Linked DNA regions of Oreochromis niloticus. The protein of the gene in region 2 purifies or fractionates together with the protein of the main gene of each other region. This does not show direct contact. Links are inferred from orthologs where the notes say so. Each region holds a gene or a part of one and is shown on either strand. Other genes may lie near its edges.

Region 1 (7,938 bases), on a different chromosome or scaffold from region 2:
AGTTAATCATCTCCATATCACCAAATTATTAAATCACCCCATATCACCAAATCACTGACATTAATGCTTGGAAAAACAAACAAACAAAAAAAAAAAAAACCCCAACATTTTCAGTTTTTACTGGTTTTTCTGTGAGCTGAACACAAACAAAGAAAACCTGTTCAACAAAACCCATGTTCCTCTTGAGCCTCTGGCTCCCAGCAAGCAACATATTACACAACTGTTGCTTGAATTGGCTTTTTCGATAACAGGGGTATCCAACGAATGGCATATGGACGCATTTAATGCAATCTGGTCGGGTGACACTGACAAATTCTTTTTACCATTTTCTTTTAGACAGCTGCTTTCTATATCAAGAGCTTTGATTTGACTAATAAAAAAAAATCAAATGCACTGGCACAATAAACAAAAATGTATAAATATAAAGCAACTCTCTGTTCTCTTCTTAGAACCCCCCCCCCCCCCAAAAAAGCACTGGCATCCACTGAAGGTCATATTGCGAGGAAATAAAACATGCCCAGACCTCAAAAAACACGTGACAGTCTCATTTCTAAGCCTATTATTATGCTAGTCAAGTTTAAAAAAAGGAAGAAAAAAAACCAAACAAGTGTGATAAAACCCGGGATAATACTGAAATTTCATGATAAGACCAGGATGGAGTGAATGAACTCTGCTATTTTGTTAAATAAGCAGCTTTCTCCAAGTCTGCTGATCTATTTCAGGACTTAAATTAAATAGACCCAATGGCACCCTGCCCTGAAAAACCACAAAGAGGGGAAAAAAGCAAGCAGTCTGAGCGCACCAAAGCTCCACCACAGCAGCCATTACAGAGCTTAAAAAAAGAGACTGACTTAAGCATCGACTAAACCTGACGTTCAGCCTTGGTAAGTCAGAAAAGTATTGCCTTATTCAGAGTTAAGTATAGTTTGAATATTTTGCCAATTTTAGTTTTTGGACAAGAAAACAAAAACTACAACAGTGCAGCTGTCACCACTTAATCAACGCCTTTACTGGGGGAGAAAGCAGCCACGCAAATTAGTAAATGAGAACTGGAGCCAGAGTGCAGACCTAAACATATGTAAATGTACACACACACACACACACACACACACACACACTCTCTACTGGCCCTGTCCTAGCTACCTCTTCTTCTACATGTTATCCTATCAAACATCCCAGTTACTGGCTCTCAGTCTAGCACAATATGCAAGAAACCCCTGTGAGCACCACATTCGAGCCTCATCATCATAACAACAAACATGTAACAGGAATAGGGTTTGGGACTTAACCACTTGGGAGTGTAATCTTGAATTGATTTAACACAACAGGAAGCAAAATACTGAAATAAAGCAAATTTCTCTACACCCTGATCGATCTACTTGTAAAAAGACAAGAACAGGTAAGGCAAAATAGCTAAAAGCCATCTTTTGTCTAACCTCTATTCATACCAGCGTCTAAGTCAAGGGCATTGAATCACTGACTGAAGGAGGAAATAGGTTAAAACAAAAGCTATAACAAGCTCTAAGGTGCCACCCACCTTATGTAATCCAAACTATGTGTCTTTGTTAACCCGAACAGGGTAATTTTATTTAGTTTTTACTCAAGATTTCTGGAACCACTCGCCCTCCCCGCAATCACCCCTGAGGCAAATACATTAAGGCTGTAGTTTCTTGGTGATCAGCTAATTTCTTGAGCACAGGGGTTGAATTCGCAAGAAAGAAGGAGCAGAAAAACTTGTTTCTACTTGCCACAGATCTTGCAGAAGACAACATACTGTACAACAACACTTTCTGCTGCTGCTCTTAATATGCAGCCTAGAATATATTAAGCGAACCTACAATAGTGGAGAGTCCCCTCACCATCCCTCTCCACATCTTCATAAAACACCACAGGATGTGAGGCATGTGCCCTTTGGGCTGCTGCTTGAAAAGAAACACACCTGGCCGAAGACTTGAAAAGTAACAGGAACCTTCATCACAGCATTAACATGACTGTCTGTCCCCTGGAGGAACACAGTCATAATGACTGTGGGTCTCTGACACTAAGAGGGGGGACACGAATTTGTTCTGTATAACTGGCGTAGCTCTATCACGTTGTATGACACACAAACACACAGTTAACCCTTATATTGGGGTCAGGCATTCCTCAGGTATTAAGTCTGAGCCTTCATATCATGACCAGTAGATAGCAGTAAAATTCTTTTTTATAAACTAAAAGGCTAATTACACATCACCTTGGCAAATAATTGACCTTTTAATCATTTTTACTTTAAGGGAAAAAAAGGAGGGGGGTAATCATTTTCTGTGACTAACACAATTAACTATGTTAAAATACTACAGGCGTCTTTAATATTTTATTAGACTGGATGAGAAGACAGTGTCACATTTCTCCTGCTCTTGTTGAGTTTTGCTAAGAGCTGCAGCGAAAGGAATTAGTAGTTTTCAGGTGATCCTGATAATTTGCACTGACCCCAGAATCACAGGAGCCTAATACTTGTGTAATTACTGCAGACAAGAGGCAGCAAGTTTATCTTGATTTAACCACAGGCTAGAGACTTTCTAGTTTTAGATACAAAAACAAAACAAATATTTGACTGTTATCGCTGCTGTAATCAGAAGGCGGTGAAATCAACACGCAAAGGCAACGCGGGTTTTTGCGTCTTCGATAAAAGCAGCTTTCCAACACTAAAACAACCTACTGCACGCTTCATTAAAAGCAACAACACAGGGTAGAAACTCAAGTTAATAGCAAATATATTTTAATTCGAAAGTATTGTAAGTTTTACCTTAGTACTTTTCCGACTGCCTGGAGCACCATTTTGCAACTTAGTCCGGTTTTAGAGTTTCTCTGAGGGTGCATGACCTTCTTATCTCCAGAAAAGGAGTAAGAGTCTCTGACCATAGCTTAAAACATGAAGACAGATGTCAGAGTCTCTCCTTAATACTGTTAAGCTGTAGTCTGCCTGTAAAAACACTACGCTGGGACTTATGAGAAGCTGTGACTCACTGTAGGGTAGAGAAAAAAAAACAACTTTGTGAGCACATTTTACAGAAAGGCGCTCCTCCTCTGTCGCCCTCGTCCAATCACAGAGGGGAAGAAAAGTGTAAAGGGGGTGGGGTGTTGTGACGTCAGTGTCTGCCCATGTGGACGTGGTTCAGCCTTTCCCCAGAATTGCAGTTACGATGTAGCAACAGGTGGTCCGCAGGTAAACGACTACAACACAATAAAAAGGTGTCGCTAGACTTTATATACCTGCTCTAATACAACGGATTTACACAAGCATGACCGTTTCTGGGTTTACAACAGTGAAACTGCATATGCATTCTTAAAGTTGTTAACTTTCACAAAATAAGTCGGTGCAAATATAACTAAAACCAATACAGGCATTTTAAATAATGCTCAAACTCATCTGCCGAAAATGAAAATTGTGGATGAAAAGCCTTGCAAGTGTAAGTAAAAATCGTTTATTCCTGTGTTAGAATAATCATTAAAACCTTCCTTCACTTTAATTGTCTTGCATGCTGAGCAACATTCCTTCTGTTCACTCTGAACTTCACTTGAGTTCATTTATGATAGGCTGGCAGCAGTCAGGCGAGTTCAGACATGCTGTAAAAGCTGAAGAACCAGTGAGCCAATCAAACAAAGCCTGCTTAAAAGCCAAAGGCAGATCTGTAAAAAACATCTGGAGGTTTCTTTGCATTTCTCATTTGAGATATTTTTTTTAAAAGCACAGGTATGATATAAATTCTAATTAAATTATCAGTAAAGAGCTGAAGCGACAACACTTAAGTACAAAATGTGCTAGTGTAAATGAACACAGACAAGTGGAAGATGTTCCATTCATGAGAAGATTACAACTAGTGTTACTAAGTTATCATTCCCTCGCTGTTCTTCCCTCTAATTACTGCCTTACAACAGATGAGCCCTCTTATTCTCTCTCTGCGCGTTTCACTGCCTCACTCCTTTACTGTCTGTTTTTCCTCCATCTTCTCAAACAAAACTTAGTGTGCCTGCCTGGCTATAGTATGGATTCATGCATGGACACAAATCTATGGGATTGTGTAGCGCTATGTGCATGCCTTGAGTCGGGGAATGCAGTTTTAAGAGCAAGATGAAGAGACTGTCAGAGTGTGTAAGGAATATGTAGTACTTGTTTATGGTTAACCCTTATATGGATTAAAAAAAAAAAAAAATCTAAGAGACAGCGAGTCAGATAGGCACCTTTCTGCACCCACATCCTGCATACCACATTACGGGTGCACACTGAGTCACTCTGGCTCCGATACCAGCTGTGAGGAGTCTGGGGAAGAGGGGAGAGAGACAGCGAGAGAGAGACCAGAACAGGGCACAGACTCTGTTCTTAAGATGCTAATTATAGTATCAGCCTGCCTCATCATAAAGACTACAGAAACTGATAAAAAAAAGGGGGGGGGGGGGGGGGGGGGGGGGGGTGCCATGGGTGTCTGGCTTAGTGTGTGTGTAAGCAGGAACAAATAAGTGTGCAGCTTAACCAGTCACTGTGTAAGCAAGAGGTAAGAAGGGGATATATAATCAGACGTGGGAGTAGTTTGTTTTGAGGGCTATATATATATATATATATATATATATATATATATATATATATATATATATATATATATATATATATATATATATATATATATATATATATGTCATTATCAAAAGTCTACAGGTCTCAGCAACATAAAAAAAAAAAGTTCTAAATATTCCAAAATGTACAGCAAATTTGCATCAATTCTTGGTCATTTTCTGCTTGTGTTTACTGTCATTTTGGGAAGTTCTTCAAACTGCTAATAGTTTCAATCCTTTTTGGTGTCATTTTAATGATGAAAAATAACATAAAAGGAATTTTATAATAACGCATTACAGGACATCATAAACACTAAAATCACATTTCTATGTGGTCTATCACAGTGTGATATTGCTGTTAAAAGTGTTACATGTAATCACGAGAAAACAGTGTGTCGCTATAATGGAAATCCCATGCTTGAGGAACTTTCCACTAATTTGCTTCTAACTATTGGACCCAAGTGGTTGCTGAAAATAGAAAACATCCATTCAGGATCACTAGCGCTTGGCCTCGACAATCACTTGTGGGAACAAAACGTTTTAGTGAATTGGGCATGAAAATTAGATGAGGCGGCATCTCTTAACCTAAACTAGACCTTTCTTTTACTAAATGAGCAGTAGGTGATCACGACTGCAGTCTGCAGCGCTGTGTGACCATGTGGATTCTGATGATGTACAAGTCAGACCTCTCTTATGCAACGTCTGACGTGAATGGAAACCAACTGCCACATTCCTTTGTCTCTCACACAGAGGTTTACTCTTCCCTCCCTGCTGGCATCACAATCTCCTCCCCCTCAAATACGCAGACAAGGCTACCTGCTTTCAACAAAACAGATATTGCTGTAAATTACTAATAACACAGGAAAGGTTGGATAGAAAAGGCCAAGTCCGGTAATGACCTGCCAGTAATGCAGATACAGGATCAAATTTCCATTCTCTGAACACACATCCATTTGTTTGTGGGTAAGGCGTACTTCTTGAGAAAGTGTAGGAACTTTTTTCCACTATAAAAAAGGTTACAGATGTAAAATCCACAGCAACAACAATTTGTAGATTAGTTTAACAAGCAAAACCACAGAAAGACTGACTTTTATCAGTACCTGGAAGCTGCTTGAAGGATGTTAAACTAATCAAAAATGACCACCCTAATTAAGAGATGCCAAAGGATTGGATTTAATTACAAAACAGGACGCTTGTGAAAAGAAAAGAAAAAAAAAAAAAGAATAAATGGAGGCAATTTATGGAAACACTGACATCACTGATACTGACAGATGAGTAAAGCCCTAATCTGATGTCCGTAAAAAAACCCAAAACAACATTAAGCATGATAATTATAGTCAGAACTGATCAGACCAACAGATAAGACAAGAAAAATAAGCACTGTAAGAAATGTAAGATATTCATTCACCACAGCACTGACGTCATAAGCAAAACAGCGCAAAAGGCGTCGAGTGAATTCAAATTTATGTGTTAAAATCTGCTGAAAGTTTTTATTATCACTAAAATGATAAAGTGGAATAGAAGATTCTGGATAAAACATGTTTGTGAACAGTGATCTCTGGAGCTGGCTCAACAGGTTGAGTCTAAAAGTCAGTGGACAAATTCCACGTATTTAAGACAAAGAAAACACTGATTCCAGGCCAGAGCTACATGAGTCACGACCGTAGCAGATGCGCCTTGGGGCCTGGCAACAGACCAGTCCTGGTCTGGCCACAGTGACTCTCCAGCCAATCATCGCTGGGGACAAAATGACAGACAGGTCAGGCACCCAACCGTGTTAAAACCCAAAATAAATGAATCGGAAACAGAGTAGTTCCAAGTTGCTGTATATGACCTGTTGGTGTTGCATTCTGGGCGTGTGGGAGTGTGCACTGTGTTTAGGTAAGGTCTTAAGCAGTAACAACAGCACAGACCGAAGGTCTTTAGAGCCTGGGGGTTTTCTATAGGCACGGATAAAGGTCAGCAGGGCCAGGGAGACACTTTGGACCATGAACCCAGCGACCTGGCCTGCAGTACATAACTGCAGAAGCAAAATCTGTTTAATAAAAATATAGCATCTGCTACCAGGCCCCCTACCAACCAAAAATAAGAAAAAATCTGATCCAAAAAAAAAAAAAAAAAAAAAAAAAAAAAAAGCAGCAACATCTGTAATTTTCTCCCTTCTGCAAAATTGTGGAGATAAATGGGCACGTATGGTCTGTATGTCTGTGCAAATGCAAAACCTCCACCAAAAAAGGCAGCTTCAATGACTACGATCAGCTAGAAAGTGCTTACACATACTTTGTACAGACAATTTTGGGCTTATAAAGAGTGCAATAAGCAGCTGTGCTTTTAACACCAGTCTCAACTCACTATTCATATGAAGCACATGGCATTAAAACATTCACATTAATTTAGCATGCCCCTTACAGAAGGAAAGACTAACTAGTCTTTGCCCACCATGTTCTCCCTTCAACCTTTATGCCATTGAATCTTTGCACATATGCTTTCTTCTGCCCTTTGCTTCATCTCTTCTTGGCTCTACATTCCTGCAGGGGAAGGGCTACAAGCAAAGACATGTCATTGCTTTCTGCACACACAGCTTTGTTAAACAAAGAGAACAGTTCAGTCTTAAAGTAACTCAAGGAGATCAAGAGCATTACATTCTGGCTCACAATTCACTTGGACATTCTTGTTTGGGAGGTATATGTGAGCACTTCATGAACAAACATAACAGAGTTCCAACTTCATGCTCTATTTAAAAACAGCAATGGCATCAAAGAACTATACCTGTCTGATCAATTGCTGCTGCATCTTTAAGCGAGTTACAAGTCAGCTTACTCTGGAGTTCAGACATTTTGCTGCAAACCTTTGGCACTGAGTTGATTTCAATATGAAAAAGTTTGCAAAGTAGAGACTGTGTGTAATAGACAGGAGGACGTGTTTTTTCTTGTTTAAAGCTAAAGGAAGACAGGACTTTAGCAAGAAGCAGACATGAGATGAGAAATTCCAGACTCGTATCCAAATGCTTATAAATCACCAACACCATGGATGCTGCGTGGATTATGTCAGTGAGAAATGACTGAGAATGAAACTGAGAGAAATGGATGAAATATGGGGGGATAAAAGGACTAGGAAATGAGAATGAGCGAGTAGTTAAGATTAGTGAGAGTGATAAAGTGAGAGGGTTGAGCCGCAGAGAATGACGTAAGGGGAAAAACAGAAGAGAAAAAGTGTGAATAACAGTTAAAAGCAAGGAGAAGAAGCAAAGAGTGAAAGAGTTTAGATCATGTGGGAGGTTGTCACAGCATGCCCTGGCTGCCCGCTGCACTCCTCCTCCCTGCATTCCTTAGGAGAGGAGAGTCTCTA
Region 2 (7,843 bases):
TGAGCAGTCCTGTATTAGAGGAGAGGAAATTGCCGGACACTAGAGCTTGGAGCATGGTTGACCTGTGTCAGTTGTCACATTGCTTGTTATTGCCACATAGAGAGTACTGTGTAATTCTGTGATATCACATATTTGACCTGACAGTCTGTCTGGTAGAAACAAGAGTAGGGGAAGAAAATTGAATCTTAAACTCAAGAGATAACAAAGGCTACCAAAATAAAACAGGAAATAACCAAAACACGAGAACAGCTCAAACAGAGACGCAGGAGACACAAGGCGGGCAAGATAAACTGAAAGGAGGACTACGATACTCAAACTAAAACCAGGAATGGACACCAGAGACCTGTGCTACACAGAAGGATTCTGGATTATCCAAGTAACTGGAGGGTTTTCAGCTGTGAACGTGATTCAGCTCTTATTGGGTTAAATTGTCAGGGTAATCGTTGTAGGGCAGGTTAGGTTCCAGATTAGAGATCAGTAGGTATGAAACCACCTACTGACCAATCAGTTTTCCATAAATCACTATTCCCGGGAGATTCCTCGGACCTCTGCGGGAAGAGTAAGATGGTTTTCAGTAGCATCTAAAGTCTTTGTGTTTTCCTGTTGAGCAATAAAAGTTAAATGCAACCTTTTCCTTGATTTTTTTTCTGTTGGCAGCAAGCACTTTTGCAACAATGGTGTTGTTGCGATCCTAAAACAGGACACCAGGGCAGCTCTAGGATCAAACCTTTAGGTGGGCTCAGCCCCCATTGAAAATCTCATGCATACTGTGCCTTGTAATTAATATTAACGGTAGTAGTAATAATGTAGCCTTTTTACATTCCAAATTTAAATTCGGGGGTCTAACCATTTAATTTTAAATGGTAAATGGACTGATTCTTATATAGTGCTTTTCTATTCTCCCGGAGTAAAAAAAGCACCAGTTATACAGCACCAGTTTGTGTCACACACAACACCTCTGTGTGAGTATGACAGTATGATACCAACAACACTGGACCGCTAAACCTGTTTTCATTCTATCCTGTAGGTGAACACAAAGCCAGAAATTAATACTATACATTACTCTTACTACTGATAGTTATTTTTAGGTGTGCTGTGATGACATTTGGGGGCACTTCAGCACCCAAAGAAGGGTCTAAACTGGCCTATGCAGGACACCGACACTGTGGGGTAGAGTTGGGTTGGATGCCACATTGCTACATTGTTGCTGCCACATTAGAGGACACTGTTGACCTGACAGTCTGTCTGTGTTTTGGAGTGGTCAGTTTGTGGAAAATACAAAAGTTTGAGGAGAGGAAGTACTTTGTACTTTTTATGGACCAGGGTCATTTTTCATGTTGTTGTTTTTATATTAAAAGATAATACAATATTAGTAGATTTTTTTTTAAAGGAGAGTTATTAAAAGCTAAAGCCATGTGTTAGCTAGGTTCAAATGTTTATCAAGAGGGCATGGAAAGGCAGTGGGTTTTTGTTTCTTTATGTCTTGGCACAATAGTTTGTGTTGAAGCATAAACTGATCTCACAGAGATTGTACTCCTCTGACTTGTGTGACTTTGAGTGAGTTATAGAGTTACTGGATCAAGACTAGCAACCTTTAAATAGAGACCATAAGACGTTCCTTTCCTGGATGATTGAGCATCACGATTTAATATGGAGAGCAGTTCAGTTTAATATTAATGTTGTTCATCTTTATTCTCAATCTTGCAAAAAAGACGTAGGCAAATTCCATGGCTGTCCTTTGTAATGATATCAATGACACATCAGTTAGAAATACAAAAATTACAGCCATGGAATTTGGAATCTGTCCACAGTTGGGTTGTTTTGGCTTTAACAATAGCTACAGGATTATAGTACTGTAAATTCATTCCTTTCACTGCTCGTATGTAAAATATTTCATAGTATTTATCACTGCTTCAAATTCATGGGGGCATTAGGTGGTGTTCATTTTTAAACTTACTGACATCTCTATCTGAAAAAACATACATAAATAATTTTTTTAATGGTCAAAAGCTATACAAGACCCCAATTTTTCCAGATTTTTTTGGAAAATTATGAAGTTTGATGTCTCATTGCACTCTGAAATGAAAGAATAGTAAAAATAAGCAATTGGAGTTGTCCTGTGAGCCACCGATCACACAAGCTGTTAACTCTCAGAAACTTGTCCTCTGATTGTGTCTTTGGGTCTGCAGACCTCTTCTTGTCACAGTTTGTTTCTGAGCCTTTGGATGGTGAAGGAAACTGTAGTCTCTGACACCTTACAGTACAACACTGTTCAACTGATGCTGACGAGGGTTTGGTACCACAGTGTGTTCCAACACTGCTTTTATGCAGACAGAGGAGGTTGGACGTAATCCAGAAATGTTGGAACAGCAGTAGGAATTAGTAGCAGCAGCTTTCAAGGCTTGATCAATCTCCATTGTTGCAGAACAGATTAAATTGTTAACCCATGTTGTATCATTCTGAAATGTACGTTATTTTTCAGTTTTAGGTAACCTTGCCTTTTTTTAACCTCTGGCAGTTCACCACTTTTGTACCATATAAAGCTGTTCATTGGACTTGAACGACTTGAACTGCAATAAATAAGTGGAAAAACTGGGGTGTTCTAAAATTTTTGACCCTTACTATGTGTTTACGTGTGTATCCTTTCAAAAAATTATATTTTACTAAAACCCCATTATTATCTATGTAGGGGAAACATACCCATACAATGTATCAGACTGTTGTTGATGGTAATGGCTTTTAGTTCCAAGTAAATGCAAAAATGAAAACATTTCCCATTTGGAGGCAGCACCTTAAGCTCTGATTTAATAGAGAAATGTTTATTGAAAGGCGTATCAATTATCAGCAATTCATGCGTAGAAAGTGTAACAAGCCGTCTACCCTACCCTATGAATCTTTAATGATCCATTTACACTTGTGTGAAACTTTTCCCAGCATTACCAGCAATACATTATCCCAGGGCAGGACTGGGACAAAAAATCGGCCCGGGCATTTTGACTAGAGACCGGCCCACCAGGTATTATAGGAAAAGCCATAAAGCCTTTGAATGAAAACAAACGCTGTTGTGACAGTGATGTACCCTGTCTTTTGGTATATTTATGATTTCTATACATTTTACATCAGATGAAAACTTTGGTTTTAAGATTCAGATAATTATTTTTTTAAAAGCGAGACATTTTAAATGAGAGTAAGAAAGAAAAGTATTTCTTTGTGCCCCCCTTTCCCTGTTAATGCCCTACCTGGCCCCCTGGCAAAACTTTGCTAGACCCGCCCCTGCACAGTTACCAGCTGTCAGCTACATAGAAAAGCATCCTGGTGTTATTTGTCTCTCAGAAACAGTTCATAACTTCCCTTCAACTCATCCATGTCACCTAAAAGGTAAACCTGTTTCTCCATCACCTGTTCAGCTCTGATGATTCAGTAAGGACATCTCCTGGTTTCATCTGCATGTTTCCCTCTCACCACATATCCAAACCGACATCATGACCAGCAGCTTTACAGCTGTGGCTCCAGCAAACATCAGCTGACACTAGAAATTAATATTAAATAAATTCTAACAACAGCTGATCAAGCTTAAAGGTGCTGCTGTTGTTTAACGCGACATCCGCTGGTTTCCTCTTTCTGGCGCAAAGTGGGCGATAAACAAACAAGACAGAAAAGCCGATCAGCTGATCATTGATCAGTTTCATGATTGAAGTAGAAACAGGAGAGGGAGGGGGAGAGAATGAGAGAAGAAGAGGCAGCTGTGCAGCGTAAAGACAGAATAACTCCAGCTTTGTGTCTTTTCCATTCTAGCTGAAGTCCGGGACAAACTGTGTTCCTTTTCACCTCAATACGAAACGCGTAATATTTTCTCTGAATACCAGACGATTCTGTTTTTTACTGGACGGTTGGCAACTTTACTAACTAACCTCATGAATAAAATAAAGTTCACTATCAGTAACATCACAGCACCCACCCAGCTGTTTAGAAACTCCATCATGCTAGCTAGCACGCAGTACAAGTTATTGTAACTGACTGTAAAAAGTCAGTACAATGAAAATAAACTCCACCTAAACTTGGTTTATATCTGACCCGGATAGACTGCAGGTCATAACTTCTTACCTGAAGTTTAGTTCACCTGACACTCGGACCGGTGGCCGCCTCGGGTCTCTCCTCCTCCTGCCTACCCTTTCCCTCATCCACCTGCTGGCCTTTATGGTAGCTCCGCCATAGCCACCACCAAACAACTCAGTTATTTTTACACCAGCATTTGGCCAATCCACCACCTTTCATTGTTTATACCGTTACAAAAACAAAACAAAACAAAACAAAAAACCCATCGGCCCATAAAAACGAAAAATCACTATTGGCCCACTGGGCAAATGCCCGGTATGCCCGATGGCCAGTCCAGCTATGCATTATCCTAAAATTGGATCCTAAAGAGAAAACAGGGTGTGTTTAACTACCGGACAGAGCAAAAATAAATATTATTGCGAAACTTGAGGCAACTCATTTCTCTTTATGCAGAGAATAGCCTATATTTTATAGCTGTAACTTTATTGTTTGCTGAGTTTAAAGCTTTCTTGATTTCCTTTGAATGTGTATTATTATTTTAATATTCCTTTAAAACTATTATATTCTAAAAAGAGCTTTGTTACTGCTGTCAAATAATGTTGCTTTCTTACAGTACAGTGCATATTTGTTGTTAGCAGTAACGCCGTTGAGCTGTTTCTCGGTCGTCTTATGAAAATCAAATTATTAACATGTTGCCACATGTTTGAGTGAACGCTCAGTGTCATGTATGTGACGCGCAGTGGAGAAATCAACCGTCTTTCCTGTGCTGGCTCACGGAGGAGGGCATGATGCGCCGCTAGGTGTCCGCTGAGTTCAAACTGCTGGTGACGCAACGCTCATCGCAAAGCAGAGCAAGAGGCGACAGACACCGCACCTTCGACCAAGGTAAGCGAACAAAGAGTAACTCTAAAACGTGGAATTAAACGACGACAAGTCGCTGTGGTAGCTGCTTTCTTCTTTTCGCTGCCTTGTGAAACAAGTAACGCGTATGTGTTTTTGTTCCTTATTGTACTTGTAACAAACGACTAGGGCGCTTTGAGCAGATAAGTAGCTAACGTTAACTAGCTAACTTTCACTTAGCTGTTTGCTTTGGAGAACTTCAAGTCAAGTTGTAAAGCAGTGGGTACGAAGGCCGGTGTTTTCTGGTCAAGGCTTTAAAAAATAAAGACGCGTACGTTCAAAGCTGAGGCGAAACATTTCCTCGAAAAAAGGCCGTTTTATTTTGAAGGAAGTATTGGGTATCGCTTATGTTTTCCCTCGCTGGCTTTACGCTGGCAGGAACTTTAATAGCAAACTAGCTAGCTAACTAATGATAGCAAGTTAGTGTAGTAGAGTGAGATTAATGAAACTTTGTAAATTTAAAGTTCTAAACTTCAAGAGAACTGAGGAAGGATTGTGAGTGTTGGCTTAAGTTATCCTCTATCCGTAATTCTTGACTCTTTCGGCACTGCGTGCATCCGGAACTACGTGTTGTTGGCTCCTGTCGGGTTTCAATGCTATTTCTTGACCGTCGCGTTTTATTTATTTCCTCTTTTAATGTACTTATTTATCTGAGATCATAAAACTTTGAGCAGATGCAACTTGCGGAAAAAGGCAGAGGGTGTGGGCTTCAGTGAAACGTCCTAAACGTCTGACAAAACATGAAATGGGCTTTTCCTCTGTTTTTACCTCTTTTTTTTTCTCTCTAATTGTGTCACGTGTTGAATATTTAAACCATAGAATTTGTTTACTACACATAAAAACTAATTTACTCTCCCACACACCAAATATAACTAAAGTTACTAATGTTAGCTGTACAGGCTGCAGGGAAGCATGCTATTATGAGTCTACCATTATAAACTTAGTGAGATAATTCTTGGGGTTCTTTGGGATTAGTGGTGGTTTGGAGGTTGGAGATATCTGTGTGCTGATTTCCCACAGTGGAAGCCTGTGTGCTTTCCTAAACAAATTGTTAAACAGTCCGATGTGTAAGTTCCTTCTTTATACATGTTTGAATCCTTTGTCAAAAAGTATGTAACAATATAGTGTACAATTCATCGAGTAATTCGATTATAAAAGGTTTTGCTGCGCCACTCTGTAGCATGAGTGCTTCACCCACATGTGCGACTAAAAACAGACCAGCAACAGAAACGTACTTAGGGGCAGCGTGTGAATAAAAAGTATAACAACATTAAGCCCACACAGCCCCCAGTTATAAACAAAAAGACTGATAACACAGCAGCTGAAGTGAATAGGATGTTGTCACATGGAGCGTGCACACCATTAAGAGCAAAGAGGCTGAGCTGTTACTGAGACGCTGAGTGAGAAACATGTTTCCAGCAGCACTGGTCCTGTAATCACCAGGGATGGGGAAGAATTGAGCAGTTTCTTCTCCATTATAGATATCACTTATCAATTCTCATTGGCTCCACTTTGAGTCACCACCATGTCTAAGCAGCATATCAAAGACATCGTATTCATGCAAATTAATTACGTTTGTGCATGTTGGAGGTGTTCCCCTCTTTGTTGTGATCAGTGTTCCAGTCATTACTGAAATAAGTAATTAATGCACATATTACACAGAATACTTTCCTTGAAGGTAATGCAGTACGTTACTTAATTACACCTAGGATTCGTTACGTTACTTTCATGTTGAATGATGTGAAACACTGTCTGATAATTACCAATTAATAATATAAACCTGAGGCTACACCCCCACACACCAACACAAATCCCTGTCCTAATGAGGACACACCTGAGCTTTCTCTGAGCATTTAGGTATGAAAACAGAGCTGATGACACAAATCAAATATAAGACACTTTAAAGTGATCACCACAGAGATTCTACTGTAGGAACGTGAACAGGTAGAACAGAAGCTGCAGCCTGGCTGTTCATCAGTTTGTTACCTGTTGATGTTCAGCTGTGGCTCACTTTATCATGGTGCTGGTCTGGGGTCAGCATTTACTCAGCTTTAACATCACTCTGGGCTCTTGGCTAGCTTAGCGTTAGCATGCTTGCTGTGCAGGTGCTTTCAAAGAGCCAAAGTTGTGTTAACAGTATGAGGCAGTTGTTTCTGTCCTCCACTTTACCATTGCGCTCTCATCCTTTTGTGCAATAAAGCTAATGTCCATATCCAAACTGAAATCAGCTGATCGTAGTGAGAGTGCAAGAATTGACAGGCAGGCAGAATAATGATTCGATATATTATTGTGTCCTGAATGTTAGGCAGCTATCTGCCACCAGATGGCACATTGTTGTTGAGAAACACCATGAATCTGTAAATCTAGGCGTAATCTTTTTGTTAACAATATTAGAATTAAATTGCGGATACAAATTGGCTTTGTCCGAAAGGTGGTTGAGCTCTCCCTTAGATAAAGAATTCAGTCATTTGGGAGCTGCTACTCCTCCACATTGAAAGGACACAGCTAAAGCTGTCGCCTCCTCGGTAAAGTATTTAGACCAAGCATGTCCTACTTGGAGGAGGCCGCAGCGTAGACCTGGGACACACTGGGAAGCTTATATCGATTGGCTGGCCTGGGAACGCCTCGATGTTTCTCCCGATAAGTTGAAGGAGGTAGCAGAGGGAGATTTGGGCTTCCCTGCTGCAGGCCCTGCAACCCGACGTCAGATAGGCGGATGATTTATTATTTTAGATTTCAGCTTTTAATTCAGTGGCTGTCATGAACATTCAAACAGTGTGCACAGCACTAAGCACCACACGTCACAGTTTATTCGTTTTTCAGACGTCATATTTTAGTAATGCGTGAACGCGTTCATGTTTTCATGTCATGTTAAACGTCGATTTGT

What was found. The genes of interacting proteins can lie anywhere in the genome.
Region 1: the proteins of stk38a (region 2) and mob2a purify together in Homo sapiens (affinity purification with mass spectrometry; 7 studies listed by BioGRID and IntAct, with this or other methods). This does not show direct contact. The link is inferred for Oreochromis niloticus from reciprocal best matches to the Homo sapiens genes STK38 and MOB2.

The regions. Positions count from the first base shown.
Region 1 is NC_031972.2:60,147,040-60,154,977, reverse strand, and holds the start of mob2a (MOB kinase activator 2a), read right to left. Parts: upstream 3,026-7,938; 5' UTR 2,902-3,025; coding exon 2,786-2,901; intron 1-2,785. UniProt on the Homo sapiens protein: Stimulates the autophosphorylation and kinase activity of STK38 and STK38L.
Region 2 is NC_031984.2:35,168,863-35,176,705, reverse strand, and holds the start of stk38a (serine/threonine-protein kinase 38), read left to right. Parts: upstream 1-4,793; 5' UTR 4,794-4,941; intron 4,942-4,973; exon of another isoform or gene 4,974-5,042; intron 5,043-7,843. UniProt on the Homo sapiens protein: Serine/threonine-protein kinase that acts as a negative regulator of MAP3K1/2 signaling. Converts MAP3K2 from its phosphorylated form to its non-phosphorylated form and inhibits autophosphorylation of MAP3K2.